4 linked regions of the Yarrowia lipolytica genome follow. The protein of the gene in region 4 interacts with the protein of the main gene of each other region in a pairwise test. Links are inferred from orthologs where the notes say so. Each region holds a gene or a part of one and is shown on either strand. Other genes may lie near its edges. The genes, in order: YALI1_B01552g, YALI1_D25744g, YALI1_B29539g and YALI1_E33527g.

Region 1 (4,649 bases), on a different chromosome or scaffold from region 4:
TAGCGGTTCTATTCGGCTAAATATGTTACCTGTATGTTCTTCAAGATTGGAAAATTAAAATTGGAAAAAAATACAAAAAAAAAAAAAAAAACCATCTGTGAATCCTACAGGGGATGTACACTAGAATTCGATTCAGCGAAGACAACTTACACTAAGATTCTATTCAGCAATTTACTACTTGTAGTTTACATCTGATCTAGCATCAACGATATACACAGTGGACGATGTCCAATTCGCTGAGCTTCATTGAGGTTGGATTGTTCAAGAAATCTAAAGAATAGCTGGTTGGTGAGGGAAAAAAGTCGTTAAATGCTGATATAATTGATAAAAAGACGGAATTGACAAAAAGACGAAAAGACGACATCTTAGATGCTCTTGATTGAACCAAACTGATATCCGTGGATTTTGAAGCTTTGGATATTCCGGTTGTCCAAAGCCGCCAAAACAAAGCCTCGGGCCGAATCCTGAGTCCAAGGGGAGTCGAAAGGTGATGCTTATATACCCACAAAATGGCTCTTTCTGAAACTATGGGCTAAAAACACCTTTTCAACTTGACCTCCGATCTGACCCCCACACCCCTACAGAAAATATGCATCAATTTCCGAGCCGCACGTCACGGACAAGAACAGAGATCTATACGATGTTTCTAGAGATTCCAATTGAAAGAAATGTCCTCCCACAAGGAGAAAACAACAACCAACAGTCGATTCGGACAATGATTTCTGGCAATGGTTTCTGACAGAGGTTCTGGATAGCCGATTGCCATTCAGACAAGTCCAGCAAGTTGCACCCTCAAACTCACCGACTTAACCGGTAGAGTCTTGTCGGTTCAAGAAAAACAAGAAACTGCGTGAAAGGTGCTACAGACTAGAACCCTTTTCCAAAGACTCAGCATCATGACGAAACCGAACAGATGGACGCATCTGAAGACCTTGACCAAACTAAGGTCCCCCAAGCTCCAGCAACGAACGATCAGAAGAGATACCTTGGCAGAACCATTATCGAATGTCCAACATCCTGCGGTATCGTGACCTGACAGTGTACACTGCACTCAAACTGTTGAGAGTATGTTCACTAAGAGTCAAGCCATTGTTCCAAAGAGACTGGTTTATTCAGGGCAGCGAGGTGTGTCATCCTGGAACGTCCTTTGGCGAAACAAGCCTCTCCTAGTCAGGATTCAGCCGCACTGGACTGAGGTGGAAGAAGAAGAAGAAGAAGAAGAAGAAGCAGATAAAATGGCTCCAATTGTAGACTCAGACACAAATGGAATCTAAGGAAATGTATATTGAGCTGACTATACAGCATTAATTGGAGCAGCGGAAAATAAACTGGGAAATAAACTGGAGATTGGGTGTGGTAATGCGTATCAGGATACACAAAAGACGTGGAAAAGTTACGTAATCTCAATCATGTGACATTCTAAAATCCCAGCTCGGTTTCAACATGTCATTGCCGTTTCCACATGCTTCATTCGCTTCAGTCTCCCATTCGTGCGGCTCGGAAATATTTCAAAATGTTGGTAAAACATGAAAGTCAAAAATAAAAGTCAAAAATAAACATCAAATTAGGATTGAAAAAACGAATGATATTTACTCGTTGAGTAATCCGATGGCAATTTATAGACATTGTTAATGGTGTCCAAATGTCCGCATGATTCTCCTGATTCCAATGCTACCACTTTCATCGCCTCTGTCCTAATATTGACAAAGATAGGGCAAGATACTCTGAAATTCCCCCAAGATTTCCCAGAAATGGGTTGATGACACTTTTCCACGTTTAATAACACTTTCCAATCTCTAATCCTTCCCAAATCCCCCCAAATCATCCCACAGAACCGTGCCACCACCAACACCAATCTAAGATGAAACGCGACCTCCCCTAACCTTAACCTTAATTTGGGATTTCAAAACACCGTCGTTAAAAGTGGTGACAAAAATGGGACGAATTTGGAGTGTGGAAAAAACAGTGTTTTGAACAGTGTTTTGAACGGTGGCATTTGGACCCTTCGAATATAACTCATAATCTCTAGATTGACCGAACAACACAGTAGGGTCACGTGCACACCCTCCCTCCTTTGCCTGGTCATAACCAGACCATCTCACACCTCCCAGCTGACTAACTTTACCCACTACTCTTACCTCATCACCACCACACACCACCATGGAGTCGCTACTGACGGATAAACAACGCAGCGACCTGGAAACCAGCATTTTCGGATACGTCAGCCGGCTGACTAACGACGAGGCGCTGCTGAGTCAGCTGGCGGCGGTTCTGAGTCAGCCGTCGGGCTCCGAGCCCGTGCCTGCCGACACTCTCAAGGCCAACGCTTTACTACTGGAAAAGAAATGGTTATCGGTCATAAGGCTTCAGCGCAAGGTGATGGATTTGGAAACCCGTTTGGAGGCGGCAGAGCGAGAAGCCTCTTCCACTCATAAGGCCAACGGTCTGGGGGCTGGCGACCCGAAAACGTGGCTACCCAAAACTTCACGATTCAGCCTGTTACATAAGCAGCCCGTGAATGCCGTGTCATTTCATCCGTTTCATTCCACTCTGGCGTCGGCGTGCGAAGATGGAAATATCAGAATCTGGGATTACGAGCTGGGCGAGATTGAAACGACGATAAAGGCCCATACGAGGGGGGTGCTGGACGTGGACTTTAGTCAGCCGGACACGGGAGCGTCACGGGACAAATCACATGACAAGCCACGTGCCGACGTATCACACGCCCAGCCCCGAGCGCTCCTGGTCAGCTGCTCGTCGGACCTCACCATCCGAATATGGGACCCCCAAAACGAATACGCAAACGTCAAAACACTGACCGGCCATGACCACACAATCTCGGCGGTCAAATTCACCGCGTCGGGGAACCACGTCATTTCCGCGTCACGTGACAAGACGGTCCGCGTCTGGTCCGTGCAATCGGGCTACTGCGTGCGAACGGTCCACGGCCACACAGACTGGGTCAAATCGTGCGCGGCGCTCAACGAAGAGTTCATCTTCTCAGCAGGGATCGATCACGTGACCCGCGTCAGCGAGTTTGTCTCCGGCGACGGCAAGATGACGCTACTCGGCCACGAGCACGTGATCGAGGGCGTTGCCGTCTACCCCAAGAGCGCCGCCGGGTGTCTGGCCAAGCTCGACAAGACGAGCTCGTACTTTGTCGTGTCGTGGTCACGTGACAAGACGATCCGGGTGTGGTCGTCACGTGGCGATCCTCTACTAATTCTTCGGGGTCATGACAATTGGGTTAGGGGAGTTGTTCTTCATCCGGCCGGGCGGTATTTGGTTTCTGTTTCTGATGACAAGACCATGAGATGTTGGGATTTGGAGCAGGGCGGCCGGTGTATTAGGGTTGTTGATGCCCATGGGCATTTTGTCACGTGCGTGGCGTGGGCTCCGAACGATGTCAATGGTCGGGTTCGGTGTCTTGTTGCCACTGGCGGTGTTGATGGCCAAGTCAAGGTGTGGCAGTGAGGGGAGCGAGCAAGCAATTTGCTTAGGTAACGATAAATGGCGTTTCTGTTGGTCATGATCTGGACTGACAAGGGGTCACGTCACTCTAGTGCCGCTCTGACACTACAGAGTCCACAAGTTAGGAGGAAAAATCAAGGCATAAGGGCATAAGGGCATAAGGGGAATTGGAGATCGTCTGAATCTGTAGCAGAGTGGGTCAGGTTGGTTTTGACCGGTTCTCCAAAGCTTCACAATGGACATGTCTCGGTCTGGAGCAGTTTGGAATCATAGGGCATTCGGAAACAATCGGGAGGCACGTCAGGATTACTCTGACCACGCAAAAGTCACTCTGACCAGTTTGAATTACTCGAAACCTGTCAGTAGCTCCATCAAACTCCTGAATCAACTTTGGAGCGATTCAAACAGTTTGATTGCAGTCTGGAGATGACTGTTTCGCACTATTTCTCAGATTTACTACAAGTCCTGTACAGACTACTCATGTGACTGCACGGGACTAATCATATGACCACACGTGACTACTCACGTGACGGACGTGCGGCCTACCCATCGGTTCTCAGACGGTACATAGAACAAGTGTATTTTTAGTAACTACCTACTGTACTGTACGTAATCAGTAGTGCCTGTAGCTGTGATGAAGTCGCGTGATACAAGTTGACCTGACCTCCCATTTTTCTGACTTGTTGAGAATTACTTAGAATCCGGTCACGTCGAATCCACACAAATGACGCCACAGGAGAGAGGGGGACTACATAAAATACAACATTCAATATCTCCGATCTTGAAGAACACAGTGGTGTCTTTAACCCGACCCATCTTCAGCACAAAAACTCCCTGTGGTTTGCTCGTTTGTATGTTCACCATTACACCTCTACACCAGCCTAACTAAAATTAGTTGGCGCGATTTAGAGTTTTTAAATGACACCATATATGCACGCTGCAGGCTCATGCATGCAAGTGAGTCGAGGCGGCAGCGAATGGAGACCGGGGCGACCAATTGAGCGATTTTGATGAGTTTTGGAAAAACACAAAGCTCACGGAATGAACCAGGGCCGGGCCAAAATTTGATTTCGGGACTTTCCCCTTCTCCAACAAGCCCCGAAGCAGGCCTATTCCTGCCCCGCCCGCTCGGTCGCCGCCTTGACGATAAAGTTGGGTTGTACATACATGACATGAGC
Region 2 (5,578 bases), on a different chromosome or scaffold from region 4:
CATGACCATTGGTCTGGCTTACTTCTTCGGAGGTTTCATTCCCCTGATCCCTTACTTCTTTACCGCCCACGTCGACGATGGTCTCATGTGGTCCGTCATTGTCATGCTCATCACCCTCTTCATCTTCGGTTGCACCAAGACTGTCATCTCTCTTGGATCCGACGTCGGACGAGGCTGCATCACGTGGAATGGTATCCAGATGACTCTGATTGGTGGTCTTGCTGCCGGAGCTGCATGGGGTCTTGTCAAGCTGATTGAATAATCCTTGACTTGCACTCCCAACCCAAAAAAAGCAGACCGCGGACGGCGGGCACCACCATCACATACCCCCTATACACTTGGCACTCAGGACTGCCAGCAAAGTGGACCCCTTGAATTGTCTTAGGACCGTTTGTTTTCCTTGTGAAAGCAAACATTGACGTTACGTCCGCGCTCCTAGCGCCGTGCAAACTCTCTTGCACATTCTATTTATTGTTCTGCAGTTTATTTATTGATATTGTATCAAATTGGAGTCGTAGCTGTGTTAGTCCAGCACATATTTTTTTTAGCAGTACAAACTTTTAGCAGTACATTTTTTAGCAGTACAAATTTTTCAGCCCAAGCTTTAGTATCCACTCGCTTACGCTTGGTATCGTCGACTTGTGCATCGCCGTGCATATTTGATGCATCTCAGCTGCATGGTGGTGTGAGACATCCGATGCTGTCTGAGGTGTATTGTAACCATGAAATGAAATATATGGAGGCATTGCCAAAGACCGAGCAATGGCAAATTGATAGAACCGGAGATACCTGCCAGGAGAGGGCGTCTAAAATGGACCGATTTATGCCTCTAATGAAGATAATAGCCGCTAGCCCCTTCAAATGAAACTAACGAGGAATGCGCACGTGCGTAAGCAGGTTACAAACGGTTAGACGGATAGATACAGGTACAGTACCGGTATGGGTAGCGGAATTTCTAATGTCGTTGGTCACGTGAAATTGGAGCTACTTGTACCCGGCATAATGATCAATTGGTCTTCGTAGCCGAACTCGTCTGAATAATAAATGGCAGCTATCAAGACGAGGCTAAATATGAGACATCATCGGTGGAGACGTGGGGTGGTAAGATTATTAGCTGGCCGTCTATTGGAGGAAACAGCTGATGCCATCGTGTTTCACTAATCGGTTCAGAGCTCTTCTTTCGTCACTATTAATGTACCAATGGACGTACCAACGTGTGCGTATCTGCATGTAGGAGTTCCTACCAGCATGTATAAGTCGGCCAAAGAGATCAGAGGAGAACCTTGGAGCTTGAGTTGTATGTATATACTGCGCTAGGCACTGGTCATAACCTGTGTATTGCTGCGATCAAAAAGGCATGATGTCGTTCTGTAGATGATGACTGTCAGCGATGACTGTCAGCCTTGGCTCTAAACACGTCGAAGATGTCCGGAAACCGTCAAATCAGCTCGTGACACCTGCCATCAGCACCAACGACGTGTAGATGGATGTCCGTTGCCAATTGGCAATAGATTGTGCTATTGCCGTGCTATGGCTCATAACCTCTAGGTCTCAGAACTGGCGATATCCATGTCCTCTTCCTAACCTGATTATATCAACTAAATATTGTGTGGGAACTGCCTCAGCAAATTTGACATTTTTTGACCTCATGTGTGATCAGAGTCTAATTAAAAAAAAACCATCACAGGCAGTGAAGTTCTGGTCAAGGACATGGTCTGCTATATATACTGCAGAAATTTTTTTTCCTGCAGCGGTGGACTCATAATTACGCCAGGTGGGATTTTTTTCAGCATGCATATGTTAATATTATGTAATACGAGAACACAGGAGTGCACAGGTACTGAAATGAAAAACACGGGAGGTGCCAATATTTCAATCACGTGACTAAAACTATCTGCCCGTTTCGTTTAATCTCTATGTACAATTTCTCGTACTCGTACTCGTGCTCGTACAGTCGGTGAGCTGCTCTCAATACACGTGTTGCTGAGTTGCTAAGGCGTCCAACTAACCCTGACTAAGTGAGGCGTTGTCCGGACAACGGAGAATAGAGGGTCTAATGGGCATAAAACGAGTGAATGTATATCGTCCCTGGAAATATCCATCAGTCAAGCAACCCTTTTGTTTATTTATATATTTCGTCTTCTAAAAGATTCTACGTTATTCTCTACGCCACCGGTAATCGAACACGCGTCCCCCAAAGTAGTGCCTGAGTGCAGATAGAGTGTGTGCGAACCTCGTCTGTGAAAATTAAAGACGTCACCAAATCCTATCTGCACGGGGCTTTTCTGTTTTCCACACTTTTCGAATCACACATACACAACATGTCTGTGCAACTACTGAACCCCAAGGCCGAGTCCCTGCGACGGCAGCAGGCGCTTCAGGTCAACATTGCCGCCGCAGAGGGTCTTCAGAGCGTTCTTTGCAGCAATCTGGGTCCCAAGGGCACCATCAAAATGTGAGTATGGTGGCGATCAGTTGGTGTTAGACAAACATCAAGAAGGAGTTCAAGACGTCCTAAGGGTAATGATGAGCATCTGTCCGTGTTATGTTGTACACGACGATGGTGCTGTTGATTATTGTGTTGCAATTGCACCTGTTTATGTAATTGGAACATGATGGAAGCCAGGATGTTATAACCACGACACAGGATTCATTTTGACGTGGTCACGACTTGATTGAGGACGTACCACGACAGGAGTTATCAAATGAACACAGATATGCCATATCACTGTTTCAAGACACGTCACAGTCTTATCACCAGAGTCATATCACCAAAGTCATATCACCAAAAGCACATCACGAGAGTCATACAATACTAACCCAGGCTTGTTGATGGAGCAGGAGGAATCAAGCTCACCAAGGACGGAAAGGTGCTTCTGTCCGAGATGCAGATCCAGAACCCCACCGCCGTACTGATTGCCCGAGCCGCCACTGCACAGGACGACATTACCGGTGACGGTACGACATCGGTTGTCCTTTACGTTGGAGAGATGCTTCGACAGGCCGAGCGGTTCGTCACTGAGATGCATCCCCGAGTCATTGCTGAGGGCTTTGAGATTGCTCGAAAGGAGGCCCTTTCCTTCCTCGACACCTTCAAGATCAACAAGGCCGGCAGCGTCGACCGAGAGCTGCTTCTGGCGGTCGCTCGATCTTCCCTCGCCACCAAAGTGAACCCCACTCTGGTGGCGCGTCTGGCTCCCGTCGTCACCGATGCCGTTCTGGCAGTTGGAGACGATCTGCACATGGTTGAGATCATGAAGCAGCAGCGACCCGACGACACTCGGCTGATCCGAGGTCTGGTTCTGGATCATGGTCCCCGACACCCCGACATGCCCAAGAGAGTCGAGAACGCGTTTGTGCTCACTCTCAACGTGTCTCTAGAGTACGAGAAGTCCGAGGTCAACGCCGGCTTCTTCTACTCCACTGCTGAGGAGCGAGAGAAGCTGGTACAGTCCGAGCGACAGTTTGTGGACGACAAGGTCAAGAAGATTGTCGAACTCAAGCGGGAAGTGTGTGCCAACGGCGAGGGCTTTGTTATTGTCAACCAGAAGGGTATTGATCCTCTGTCTCTGGACATTCTGGCCAAGAACGGCATTTTTGCCCTGAGACGAGCAAAGCGACGAAACATGGAGCGTCTGCAGCTCGTGTGTGGAGGAGAGGCCCAGAACTCGGTTGAGGATCTGCGTCCCGATATTCTGGGATGGGCCGGTCTGGTCTACGAGGAGACCATTGGCGAGGAGAAGTACACCTACATTGAGGAGGTCAAGGACCCCCGGTCGGTGACCATTCTGATCCGAGCCCCCAACTCTCACAGCATTGCCCAGACCTCCGATGCGGTGCGAGACGGTCTCCGAGCTGTGGCCAACTGCCGAACCGACCAGGCTGTTGTTCCTGGTGCCGGCGCATTCCAGCTCGCTCTGCACCAGCATCTCATCAAGTTCGCGCGAAGCACCAAGGGTAAGGCCAAGTACGGAATCACAGCCTTTGCCGAGGCCATGCTGATTATCCCCAAGACTCTGGCTTCTAACGCCGGTTACGACGCTCTTGACATGATTACCGAGTGCCAGGACGAGATTGCCGAGGGCCATCTTGTGGGTTTGGATCTGACCACCGGCGAGCCCATGGACCCCACGGTTGAGGGTGTCTACGACTCGTTCCGGGTGATCCGAAACAGCATTGCCAGTGCCACTGGTATTGCCACCAACCTGCTGCTGTGCGACGAGCTGCTCAAGGCTGGTCGATCTTCGTTGAAGCAGCAGTAAGGGGAGGTGTAGAGCATAAAATGAGGCCATAAGCGGTATGGGTTGGATACGAATGAATGTAATTGAATATAGACATGACAAGAGGAGGGAAGTTGAAGAAGTAGTCCCTGCCTAACGTGTGCAGTACAAGTACGAGATAGCCACCGTCTATATTATTATTTTCTGCATAATACATTCATTAATTATAAGTTGATTGTAGTGTAGTAATAGTTGAGTAAGGGTTAAGGCTACTTACTGAATTGTTGGTGGGCACAGTTCAGATGTACGAATGATTCTACAATCATTACTCCTCATTCTCGAGGTACAAATAGTTGATAAGTATTGTACAGTCGCTGGAGTACAGTCATTAAGTGTCAGTCATTAAGTGTTGGTTTTGTTCAGGCCTTCTGGACCATCTCCTCGACTTGCTTCTTCTCGTCGTAGGAGGGCGGCTTCTCGATTGAGTCTGTCTCCACGACCAGTCCGTTATCGTCGGTGGACTCGTCGGCCTTGACATGCTCGGACTCCTCCTTGATTCGCTGGGCGGTATCGAGATTGATATCTGCGTTGGTCAGAGAGAGGCAGAACATGATGGCACAGAGAATGAGAGGGCCGATGAGCAGTGATCGGATGACGGTGTTGAGCGAGGTTCCAATGGCCGCTCTTTGGGGGGAGCCCACGGGGTATCTGAGACCGGCGTAGATGGAGCCGAAAATGGCCTGGATCTCCCGGTCAGTAAAGGACCCTGTTTCTCGAAGCAGCTTGGGGAAATGGTTTCGGTACACAGCGGCCGAGATGACGTTACCGAGAATGGTACCGGTGGAATTGAAAAAGTAGTAGACGGTGATGGCGGCGGCAGCATCGGACTGCTTGCACACGACCTGGATGTAAACCATGACGGGAATGACAAGCAGACCGGCTCCCACACCCTCAAATACCTGAGCCAGAATCATGGTGTGGAGGGGTTTCTCGGGCTTTCGGAACTCGTAGGTGAGTCCCATTCCAATGAAGTACAGAATAGTACCCCAGACCATGACGGACTTGAGCTTGGCTCGCCATCGCATGAGCGGCGAAAAGAGAAGGGTGGTTCCGGTCAGTGACACAAACATGGCCATGTGCAAGTTGGTGGCCTTTGCCTGCTTGAGACCCTTGGCCAGCAGGAGCCAGACCTGGAAGTAGGGGTGGTAGATGGCAAAGGACATGTTGTAGAAGAGAATGATGAAGCCGGGAATTGTCACCAGACGCTTGGACATGAGCTTGTACTTGAGAAAGGGGTGTTTGGTGACGAAGAACTCCCACAGCGGGAAGGCAACGTAGAGCAGGAAGGTGCCGACCGT
Region 3 (3,855 bases), on a different chromosome or scaffold from region 4:
CTCTGAAGCAACACACATTTACACACCCACACTACTGTACTTCTTCGTGTGCACAATAAATATTGTTCTGCTTAATTAGAAAACGGTGAGCCTATTACTTAAACAAGGCGGCTACTGTCTTAGTGTACCGTTGCTGGTACAATCATTTCGGTCTCGTTGCTACAGTAGATATAAAATATAAACATCAATTGAGACGACTCAGTCTCGTGTCCTTCATCACTCGCCTATATAATCTATCACTTACTGCTGGTTGCACTCGGGCATGTTCTCGGGCATCTCGGGCATCTTACCGCCACCAAGACCTCCCAGTCCAAGACCATCGAGACCGCCAGGAATGCTACCGTCGGCAACATTGGACATGATCTCATCCGGAGGAGCACCGGTCTCCTGCATCTCGTCCATCAGCTGGGTGATGACGGCTCGGTCGGCTTCGGAGTCGTCAGAGTAAGAGGGGTCCTCAAACTTGGCACAGATTTTGCCAACAATGTCCTGCTGCAGCTTAAGTCGGTCTCGCTCCTTCTCCTCGGTCACCTTGGATCCGTGCTCGTCCCACCACTTAGGGTAGTTGTCGTGCATCTCCTTCAACGGCTGGTACAGAACCTCCTTGGAGGCCAGCTGACGCATGATTCCTCCTAACATATCTCCAAAGTCGCCTTCCCCGCCCTCTCCAAAGCCTCCAGCACCCGACAGCTGCTCCATGAGGCCAGCGAGCATGTCGTCACCAAGGGGCATGTCCCCCATCTCCTGGTTACTCTGGTTCAAACGGTCAGCAGTGGCGGAAATGGTCTCTTTGAATGACTTGGGCTGCTGGGCCTTTTCGGATGCGGTGGCGCTGGTAACGTTGTTGATCTCCTTGAGCAGAGACTCAAACTGGGCCTTGGACTCGGGGTCTGCCTCGATGTCCTTAAGGAAGTCGTCCATCTTGAGCCCAGCGAGCTGATCCTCGAGGTTGGGCAGAGAAACCTTCTCCGCACCGGCCTCCGCAGAGTCAGTGGCCGCATTCTTGTCAGCAGTATCGGCTCCCTCAGTCTTTGAATCGGTCCCGGAAGTTTCGGTGCTCTTCTTAGTGGCATCAGGCTTAGCCTCGGCAGTGGTAGGAGCAGTAGATGTAGTAGGGGTAGCATCCTTCTGAGCTCCAGGAGGCTTGCTCAGCACCTGCTCGTCGAACTCGTCGAGAAAGTCATCGAGGTCATCAAGATCTTCTTCGTGTGACATTGTTTTTGTGGGTGTGAACTGTGTGGGGGTGTGGTTAAGAAGCGAACACGATGGAAATCAAGGTGTTGGTCAACTTAGTTTCTTTCACAAGGTGGGGTGTGCAGGGGGAGTCTATGATCATCAGCCGTCTGAGTGGTTAGATTTGGACCAAGGAGGTGAGACAGGTGTAATTAATGAAGTAGTGGTAATTAATACCACGGAATATTCAATGGAAAATTCTTCCTCCACTTCCTCCTCTTCTGGCTTCTATTTTTTGGCACAAACGTGTGTGTGGGGTACGGGTTAGGGGCGTGGGGCAAGTGTCAGTCAAGCTGTCTCGCTGTAGAAAGAGGGCCCTTGAGTGTGCAAATTTGTGTCTTTGGAACAAGGGGGTCTCGGAATGCAAAGGATCATGAATGAAAAAGATGCTTCAAGAAGGTCTCTTAGTTAGGACAATTTTTTGTACTCGTACTTGTTCCACATCTTCATTAAATGAGCTCTGATAGGTGTAGATCCTTCTGGGAGAGGCTTGACGCTTAGTAATATTGAAAGTCAGTAATCCAGCCAAACCACCAACAAATATCTTGGGCGTAGGTTTTCCGTAGAATATACGCCAAATGAAGTAAATAATTCTATGATTGGACTCTCCCACGTGAATAATAAAAACACCTCACTTCCATACCCACATAGGACTCGAACCGAGTGCTGAAAGTTAGCTACGTTACTATGGAGATAGTCGGCCACAAACAAAACCTCTTTAGGAGACATCATCACATCGCATTCTCCACACACACCACACACAAGACACAACCAGCAAAAATGTCGGAAGACTCGTTGATGCAGAAGCGACTCATGGAAGAGCGGTGAGTTACAAAGACCAATCTTTATTCACCTAGACGCCCCGTTTTAACTAACTCAGGAAAACCTGGCGAAAGTCACATCCGTTTGGCTTCTTTGCTAAGCCCGCCAAGGACCAGAACGGAAACCTGGATCTCACTAACTGGAACGCCGGCATCCCCGGAAAGGAAGGAACCGCCTGGGCCGGTGCCACATACCCCATGCTCATCACCTTCCCCAAAGACTACCCGACCAAACCCCCACGATGCCGATTTGATGCTGGGTTCTATCACCCCAACGTCTACCCCTCGGGCACCGTCTGTCTGTCAATTCTGAACGAGGAGGAGGACTGGCGACCTTCCATCACGCTGTCTGAGATTGTCATGGGTATCCAGGAGCTCATGAACAACCCCAACCCCCACTCTCCCGCCCAGAACGATGCATTTGCCGCCTTCCAGAAGAACAAGGAGGAGTACGATAAGCGGGTGGCCGAGCAGGTCAAAAAGTACGCTGCTTAGAGTGATACTCGGCGTTCGTATTAATGCATTACGCGATGCTGGAGGACTTTAGAACTGGAGTCTTGAAGGAGGATCCAAGGGCCGAGATGAGCTGATCCACCCTCACGCGACTAAACATTAAATATAACATATGTATGCGTGACGCTTGTGGGTCAGCGGTTTTCGCATGTTTTAGTCAATAGATGTATTTTTTTTCTCCCTCCTGTCCAATGTTTGGTGGTTATGACAGCCCCAAAGTTAAGCCATTTTTCATTAGTCAGCTCCATGGGTTCATTTTCGTGGAGCTCTGTAAGCGTGACTCAGTTGACTCAACGTGTGGGCATGGAGGTTGGGTTTATCCGTTGCTTGTCATACAAATTTGAGGATATGGTTTGCTGTTAATGTCGGAAAAATGTGCAGGAACATATATCAAGTACACAGCTATAGCTACACGAGGGGATGTAACCAGGGGGATATGACGGCTTCACTTCATAGTGGACAGAAATACCGCTCAAAAACCCTTTTGCCCCGCCCAACAAGACCCCATGTACCCCCTAAGGCTTGCTAATATTGAGGGTTTCACCTCCGTCTTGGCCCATGCGGGGATTGTTTAACTTCGTTGGGACCTGTCCTAAACATCTATCCATACAATGGTGCCTCGACGAGGAGCCACAATTGGGGCGCCATTGCCCCGTATATTCTCGAGACACGTCAGCAACTACTTTCACTATCGCCAGGGCGACGTGGCGGGCCGCATAAACCTGCTTTCGCTTCCGGGCTTCATTGGACACTACACAAGCCGAGTCAACAGACCCTACAACGAAGACCGCTACAGCGCCTCCGTATTGAAACTACCTCGAGGCAGCACTTTTGCGCCTCGATCTCTGCGAAAGGGCATGTCTGCCGAGCGTCAGGTCTTCAACTTTGCCGTCTACGATGGCCACGGATCCGACGAGTGCTCCGAGTTTCTTAAGGACAAACTGGCCACCTATGTCGAGAAGGCTGACCTCAACGACGCCGACGACATTACCACCAAGTACAAGGAGCGGTTTGGAGGCTACTGGCGCCGATGGAAGCAGATGGACAAATACCGGGGTAGAATGAGCCCCTACGACGACTTCCAGTTACGACTACCGTTGGCGTTCCTGGAGGCCGACTACGATTTTGAAGGTAAAGGAGGAAGTACATGCACATCGGTGTTCTTGTATTGTCGCCATGTGGCCCATTCAGAGGCCGGTCCCCTACCGCCGGGGGCTGAGGATAACATGTTTGACCCAGAGAACGACCTCTCTCTAGTAGTGGCCCATGTCGGAGACACTCGATGCAT
Region 4 (6,314 bases):
CTCGGCTTTGGCTTTGGTATCCATGCTGGTCATTGTCATTCTTGTGATTGTCCGAGGACCCCAGCTTGCTCCTGAGTACAAGGGCACTTTTGATGGACACGCTCTGAGTATCAGCCCGGGACTGTTTCAGGGAGTGTCAGTCATCTCTTTCGCCTTTGTCTGTCACCACAACTCTCTGCTGATCTACGACTCTCTGAAACGACCTACTATGGATAGATTCGCTACAGTTACCCACTGGTCTACCGGAGTCTCCATGGTGGCTTGTCTGGCCATGGGAGTGGGTGGGTTCGTCATTTTCGTCGACAAGACCAAGGGAAACGTTCTCAACAACTTCCCAGCCTCTGATGTCATGGCCAACGTTGCGCGATTCTGTTTTGGCTTCAACATGCTCACCACCCTGCCTCTGGAGATCTTCGTTTGCAGAGAAGTCTTCACTACATACTTTTGGCCTGGCGATGAGTTCAAGTGGATTAGACACATTGTTACTACCACGGTGATGATGCTCACCGCCATGTGTGTTGCTCTGATCACCTGTAACCTGGGTGTTATTCTAGAACTCGTCGGAGCTACCTCAGCTTGCGTCATGGCATATATCCTGCCTCCCCTGTGCTATTTGAAGCTGACCAAGAACAAGAGTCTAAAACAGAAGGCTCCTTACTATCTGGTGGCAGGATTTGGAGTGCTAGTCATGCTCTTCTCCACCATCCAATCACTGCTGAAGATTGTGAATGGAGAGGAAGAGGGCAGTCATTGTGACGTGAACTAGTCCTAATATGACCAATTATTGTCCCCTACGGGTACTTGCACTGCACGACCACTCAAAACATCCAAAACAAACCAATCAGACCTAACCATATATCCGCCGTCTGATCACATACAGACAACACCAAAATCACTAAAATAGTCAATATCAATGTATTTTATTCAGTCCGCGAGCTCTACACATCAAAACCAGCCATTAAGTGTTAACCATTTTCCTACATGAACATTGCCATTCATCATCATTCTCCTGGTATCAGCTTCCAACCCTAGAATTATCAAATCCAGTACTAGTACATCTTCTGTCTCGCCTTCATGGCCTCGATTCGAGCCTTCAACTGATTAGTAACCTCTGCAGCACGCTGCCACGACTCCTGAGCCTGAGGTCTATATGAATCCCGTCTGTCAGGAGATAGGGCACGTGACACCGCCGACTCACGTGTACCGTAGTCATGTCCGTTTCCTCCCAAGTAGTCACGTGATCCGTTCCCAACACCGAAGTCCCGAGAGCCCCGGTTACCGACACCAAAGTCACGTGAGCCGCTGTTACCTCCATGACCAGGCCTGAATTCACGCGTGCCGTTGCTTCCCGCATTAAAGTTGTTTCCTCCGCTTAAGTCACGTGATATTCGTCTGTCTCCTCCAACTCTCTCACTCCCTCCTCCTTCCCCACCCAACGACAGCTCTCTGAACGATGCCTCAGCGTCAACAGAGGGTGACATCTCTCGGGGTTCTTGCTTCACAGCCTGAGAAGCAGAAGCAGCAGTTTCCAGCTCAGAAATCCGCTTGTAAGCAGCCTGCAAATCCCCCTGCATCCGGGAGAACTGTGTCTCTTTGCTCTTGAACGAAACAGCGTCTTTGGTGTGTTGTTCTAGAATGTCTGCCTTGGAATGTTGCAGAGAGTTGATCTCGTCAAGCAATCTCTGCTTCTCAGCTGCAAACTTTTGCTTTTCGGCCTCAAAAGCAGCCATCAATGTCTCCTTCTCCTTGATCCAAGTTTCCTTAGCGGCTCTCAGCTCCTCTAGTTCCTCAATATCTGCTGAGGAAGCTGCTGGTCCGAAAGAGTCGATACTCGGGCTTGCAGGAATCTTCTTGAGAGGTTGCTTCATCAACCCAGTTCGAGATTGGCCGTATCCTGAAGACTGACCATATCCAGATGACTGAACTGGCTTGCTGTCGGTAGATCCAAATCCAGAAGAAGGACCGGCATTGGATCCAGTAAAGGGCTTTCGAATAACACCTCCACCGGGTCGAACCAGTTTCCGTTGACCAGGAGTAGCCACAGAAGGACGTTTGTTAGATGCAGAAGCAGAGGCAGAAGGAGGAGGAGCGCGAGTAGCAGGCTTTGGGGTAGGCTTGGCCTTGGGCCTAGCCACCACTGTTGCCTTATCGTAGTACTCGACGATTTTCGTCTTTCGGATATCGTCAACGCCCTTGAAATGCTGCTCAAAGGCCCGTTCTCCAATCAGCTTTCGAGCAGTACCAAGAACCTGCATGGAAATCTCTCGGACAGGAGCCTGGGTATCAGAAAGTGTCTTCAGAACCGCCTTGATCACATGATCCAAGTCCTGGTCACTAGGATACTCCTTGATAGTCGACAAAAGACGCAGAATGAAGTTCAGAGACTCAATCCGCACCTGGGGAGTCTTATGGGACACGAACGGCAATGTATCTTCCACCACCTCGCCAAAGGGGAGCTTGCAAGCAATAGCATCGAGAGCTTTGCCCAGTGCTTCAGCCACAGAAGCTTTTTTCTCCTTCGTTCGCTCCAGAACAGCTTGGAGAGTGAATCGGTATCGTGCAAACGCGTTACCGGGCAACCCATTCGCCACTGTCTCGATACACTGAGCAGCCACCTGCACACATTGCACGTTGGCATCCTTGTGAACCACCTTAGCCATAGCTCTGAGAAGTTCTCCGTAGTCTCCCTCCTGTAATTTGGGGCCTCCGCTCTGAAGTACAGGTAGAACTGCCTCCAACCCCTCCTTTCGTTCCTTCCACTTGGCTGATGTAACTTCTGTGTAAAAGTTTGCTGGAACCTGAGACAGCACATCCTTGGCTTCCACCAGAGCCAGAGGGTCCGAATCCTCCTCATCACCCCCATTGTCCACATCCATCTCGTCGGACTCGATTCCGTTGGCCGAAGCTGTAGAAAGCACCTGTTGTTGAGATCTGAGAAGTCGAGCTTGGGTAGGTTTTCCAGCAGCTGCGTTAGCAGCAAACTTCTCATCGAGTTCCTTCTGCTGTACAGGTTTGAGGTTCCAGCTGGGCAAAATTGCGTCCATCAGAGGCTGACCATGCCACTTTTGAACCTCAACAATGAAGTTCATCGCCTCTGCTCGCACATTCTTGTCTGCATGAGTAAGCAGCTTAGGAAGAGCCTTGAACACGGGCTTAGGGTCGATTGTCTTTCCAAATGCTGCGACCATGTCCACCAAACACTTCAGGTTGGCAGCGATCACCTTGGGTGTTCTATGGCCCAACAAAGCAACAACATCCTCCACAACAGGATCAGGGACGTCCAGTTCAATGTACCATAACAGGGATTCTGTAGAAGAAGTTTTTGTGCCTGCTCGTGCGGAAGCTAGTCCCTTTTCAGCAAGAATAGGAACCACTACAGACCGTGTTCTCAAACAAGCCTGGGTACCTCCAAACTGAAGGAAGGCTGCCAAAGATTGAATACCTTGATCCTGAGCAACCACGTTCGTGTCACCGACAATCTTCTTGTACAGCCCAGGGTTGTCGAGGAAAGGCGCGAAAATGGGGTCCGCTTCGCTTGGAGATGTCGTGAACTTGTCCTTCAACTCTTCATAAGCTGATTGTCGCGCTTTCCAGTTCTGAATTAGTAACGCGGGGTTTGGGAAGGGGAAAACACGTGATACTCACCTTGTGGACCATTCGGTCCATCACCGGAATCGCATTAAAATCTTCTTCTTCACTCATGTCGTGTTGTAGCGATGTCGGTCGTGTTACGGGTATTAGGGGATGAGAACTGTATGCATCTCAGTTTACATGCGGTTACCCCGGCAACGATGGGGAGGCAAATAAGGTTGGCTAGCTGGGGTTCGATTACGGGAGTTGTTCTATACTGATTATAGTAGGAGAATGTATTAATGGAACATTACTGTCGGTTAACATAGTATTTTTGTGTAATTCCCATAGAACCAGTCTATATATTGTCGACATTCCCGTTTTGACCACGCTTGTCTTTGGATGTTGTTTAGACTGGTTGTGTGTTGTGGTTCGATCCCCAATTGGGATGGAAAAAAAGGGACTCAGCTAATGATAGGAAGGTACATACTCGTACAAGTACAGCTGCTGTGTTGGTACTCGTAGGAGTAACAACATTATGTAGCTGTAACTAATATACGCCAATGAGCTTGGCTTGAGAGCGGGCATGTCACATGGACACGCGCGAAGTATACGCGCTCAGAACACGCGTTGTTGTCTAAATCTGGCCTGAGGGTACATGAAAGATGTGAAAGGTGAGTATGTACTACTTGTAGTAGATATCAAGTACAGTATGTACTGTACAGTACAGTACCAAGAGAGTGCTCCAAGAACTCTTATGATAGTAAATACGGGGTAGTTTAGAAGTGGTTATCCATGTAGTGTTACGTAGGTGGTTTGAGGGACTTGGTGTCTCGAGGAGCTTGGAAAGTTGACAGATTGTGGCCCATAAAATGAATTGTAGGTATACCCTTTTTTCTAAAAAAGATTCGGAGGTGTAGAAACATGCCGGCTGATAATACTGCATACCGTCTCGCATGAGTCTATACAGCAGCTACCTGTCCTAAACTTATGGCACGTATTTATCGCGTGTAGCGTGTTTCCTCTGCTTCCGTGCATGGAACAAAATTGACGAGTGGAACTACAATTATCAAGAGTAAGTATTGGTGATGCAAACGGGCAAAAGTTGAAAATGTAAGGGATTGGCGAAAGATACCCGTAACTACTGACATGCCATGGTACAAAATGGCTCTATAGCCATGTTCAATGAAATGATACCTCTTCCTCATCATACTATGTAGCATACATTATGATGACTTCGTTATGGGTCAGCTTTCCCTGAATTATGGAAAAACCGGTATATCTACTGCCATCAAGTCCATCCCATTTTATTTCATAATCATCAACTCAACATGCATCTTCATTTTTTCCTAGGACTGGCTACCACAGCCTGGGCCATGTATGAATACAACGAGATCATCCCCTCTCGACATCGGGTTTGCAACCCCAACGAGCTGGGCTTGGAAGACTACTATGGCTTTGTTGTTCACCATCAAGTGACCGTTTCATCTTGGCCCAATCTGCACCATACTCGAGTATCCGAGTGTGAAAACTCGTATGTTCAGCAGCACGATTTGTACCATCCCAACGAGCCCGGCCAAGATACTGTGTGGGGCAAGAAGTTGTGTTCCGTTCACAACAACGACCACACTCGATGTTTCATGATGGCGCGAAGACGCCGATACGCCGGCCTCAAGTACTCTTTGTTCGTCCCCAACATGTGGATTGGTACTCTGTTTGAGTGTGACTGGAGAAACCCCAAGGACCCAGAGTGTATCAACCCAATCCCCATGCGACCTCTCATCTCCGACAATCTGGTATTAGCCAACTGGTACGAGACCCCTGATGGTTTCAAGCACATGGTTCGACGAATCCCGATGTTCTACACCACCAACAAGGGCCATCCCGTTCCTGCAAACTGGAACAACTCAGTAGATCCCTGGGAGCAGTACACTTACAGCTCCAACGAGGAAAGTGTCTTCAGCAACGTCGCAACCAATCTGCAGTCCTGGTTCCACACTCTGAATCGTATTGGACAGCAGGAACCACTTGACATCGATGAGGGGGATGGACGACCCCGACGAGGTCTTTCCGCTCCTATCGACTTGTCGTACAAGAACGCCTTCCATTGTTGGGATGATGTTCGTAACGTGTTCTGGAAGTGTCCCCCTCCCAAGTGGAAGGAAGAGATTGATGCTGAGAAGCGAAAGAAACCTGACTACCATAACAGACTCATTATGCCTATGCCCATGCCTCCTCTTGATCCCCCTCGAGAGCCCAACGACTTTGATGATCCCTTGGGTCTTCCTAAGTCTCGACTTCCCGAGTTCCGAGATATTCCCGGAATTATCGATCGAGGTAGAGACGCGTATGATCCCTTCTACGATCCCGTTTTTGAGAAAGAGAGAGCAGAATGGCATAAAAATAACCCAGCTACTACATACCCTGTCATGACTGCTGAGCTCCCTATTTCCACAGTGGGTCCCTCCAACCCTCTCAAGCACTCATTCAATATCTTTTCTGGACTGTTCAAGCCTCGTCCTGTCATCAAGGAGGAAGAGGAGCTGGAGGAGGAAACTTGGGGCTTCTTTGATATATTCCAGCCCAAACCTCGACGAGGACAATCCAGTATTGGTCTCATGGACAAAATTCTGTACGGAAATCTGCCTCCTGCTGCACGTCCTGGAGGAGCTCAGACAAGTTACACAGGTGGATACCGAACCTATGATCAGAATATCGGAAGTCTAGTACCTGTTATCCGACCC

What was found.
Region 1: the proteins of YALI1_E33527g (region 4) and YALI1_B01552g interact in a two-hybrid assay, tested with the Saccharomyces cerevisiae proteins (2 studies listed by BioGRID). The link is inferred for Yarrowia lipolytica from reciprocal best matches to the Saccharomyces cerevisiae genes STU2 and PAC1.
Region 2: the proteins of YALI1_E33527g (region 4) and YALI1_D25744g interact in a protein complementation assay, tested with the Saccharomyces cerevisiae proteins (2 studies listed by BioGRID). The link is inferred for Yarrowia lipolytica from reciprocal best matches to the Saccharomyces cerevisiae genes STU2 and CCT6.
Region 3: the proteins of YALI1_E33527g (region 4) and YALI1_B29539g interact in a two-hybrid assay, tested with the Saccharomyces cerevisiae proteins (2 studies listed by BioGRID). The link is inferred for Yarrowia lipolytica from reciprocal best matches to the Saccharomyces cerevisiae genes STU2 and UBC9.

The regions. Positions count from the first base shown.
Region 1 is NC_090771.1:153,132-157,780, forward strand, and holds YALI1_B01552g (uncharacterized protein), read left to right. Parts: upstream 1-2,160; coding exon 2,161-3,474; downstream 3,475-4,649. Other genes in the region: YALI1_B01550g (uncharacterized protein), read right to left, coding at 1,565-1,889, 1,932-2,086; YALI1_B01568g (uncharacterized protein), read left to right, coding at 3,707-3,889, 3,935-3,979.
Region 2 is NC_090773.1:2,572,077-2,577,654, forward strand, and holds YALI1_D25744g (uncharacterized protein), read left to right. Parts: upstream 1-2,321; coding exon 2,322-2,455; intron 2,456-2,824; coding exon 2,825-4,262; downstream 4,263-5,578. Other genes in the region: YALI1_D25715g (uncharacterized protein), read left to right, coding at 1-262; YALI1_D25786g (uncharacterized protein), read right to left, coding at 4,640-5,578. UniProt on the Saccharomyces cerevisiae protein: Molecular chaperone; assists the folding of proteins upon ATP hydrolysis. Known to play a role, in vitro, in the folding of actin and tubulin. In yeast may play a role in mitotic spindle formation.
Region 3 is NC_090771.1:2,952,176-2,956,030, reverse strand, and holds YALI1_B29539g (uncharacterized protein), read left to right. Parts: upstream 1-2,013; coding exon 2,014-2,057; intron 2,058-2,113; coding exon 2,114-2,549; downstream 2,550-3,855. Other genes in the region: YALI1_B29548g (uncharacterized protein), read right to left, coding at 241-1,215; YALI1_B29528g (uncharacterized protein), read left to right, coding at 3,179-3,855. UniProt on the Saccharomyces cerevisiae protein: E2 ubiquitin-like--protein ligase mediating SUMO/Smt3 attachment to septins and PCNA. Seems to be involved in degradation of S- (CLB5) and M-phase cyclins (CLB2).
Region 4 is NC_090774.1:3,349,164-3,355,477, forward strand, and holds YALI1_E33527g (uncharacterized protein), read right to left. Parts: upstream 3,703-6,314; coding exon 3,646-3,702; intron 3,597-3,645; coding exon 1,050-3,596; downstream 1-1,049. Other genes in the region: YALI1_E33485g (uncharacterized protein), read left to right, coding at 1-766; YALI1_E33540g (uncharacterized protein), read left to right, coding at 4,902-6,314.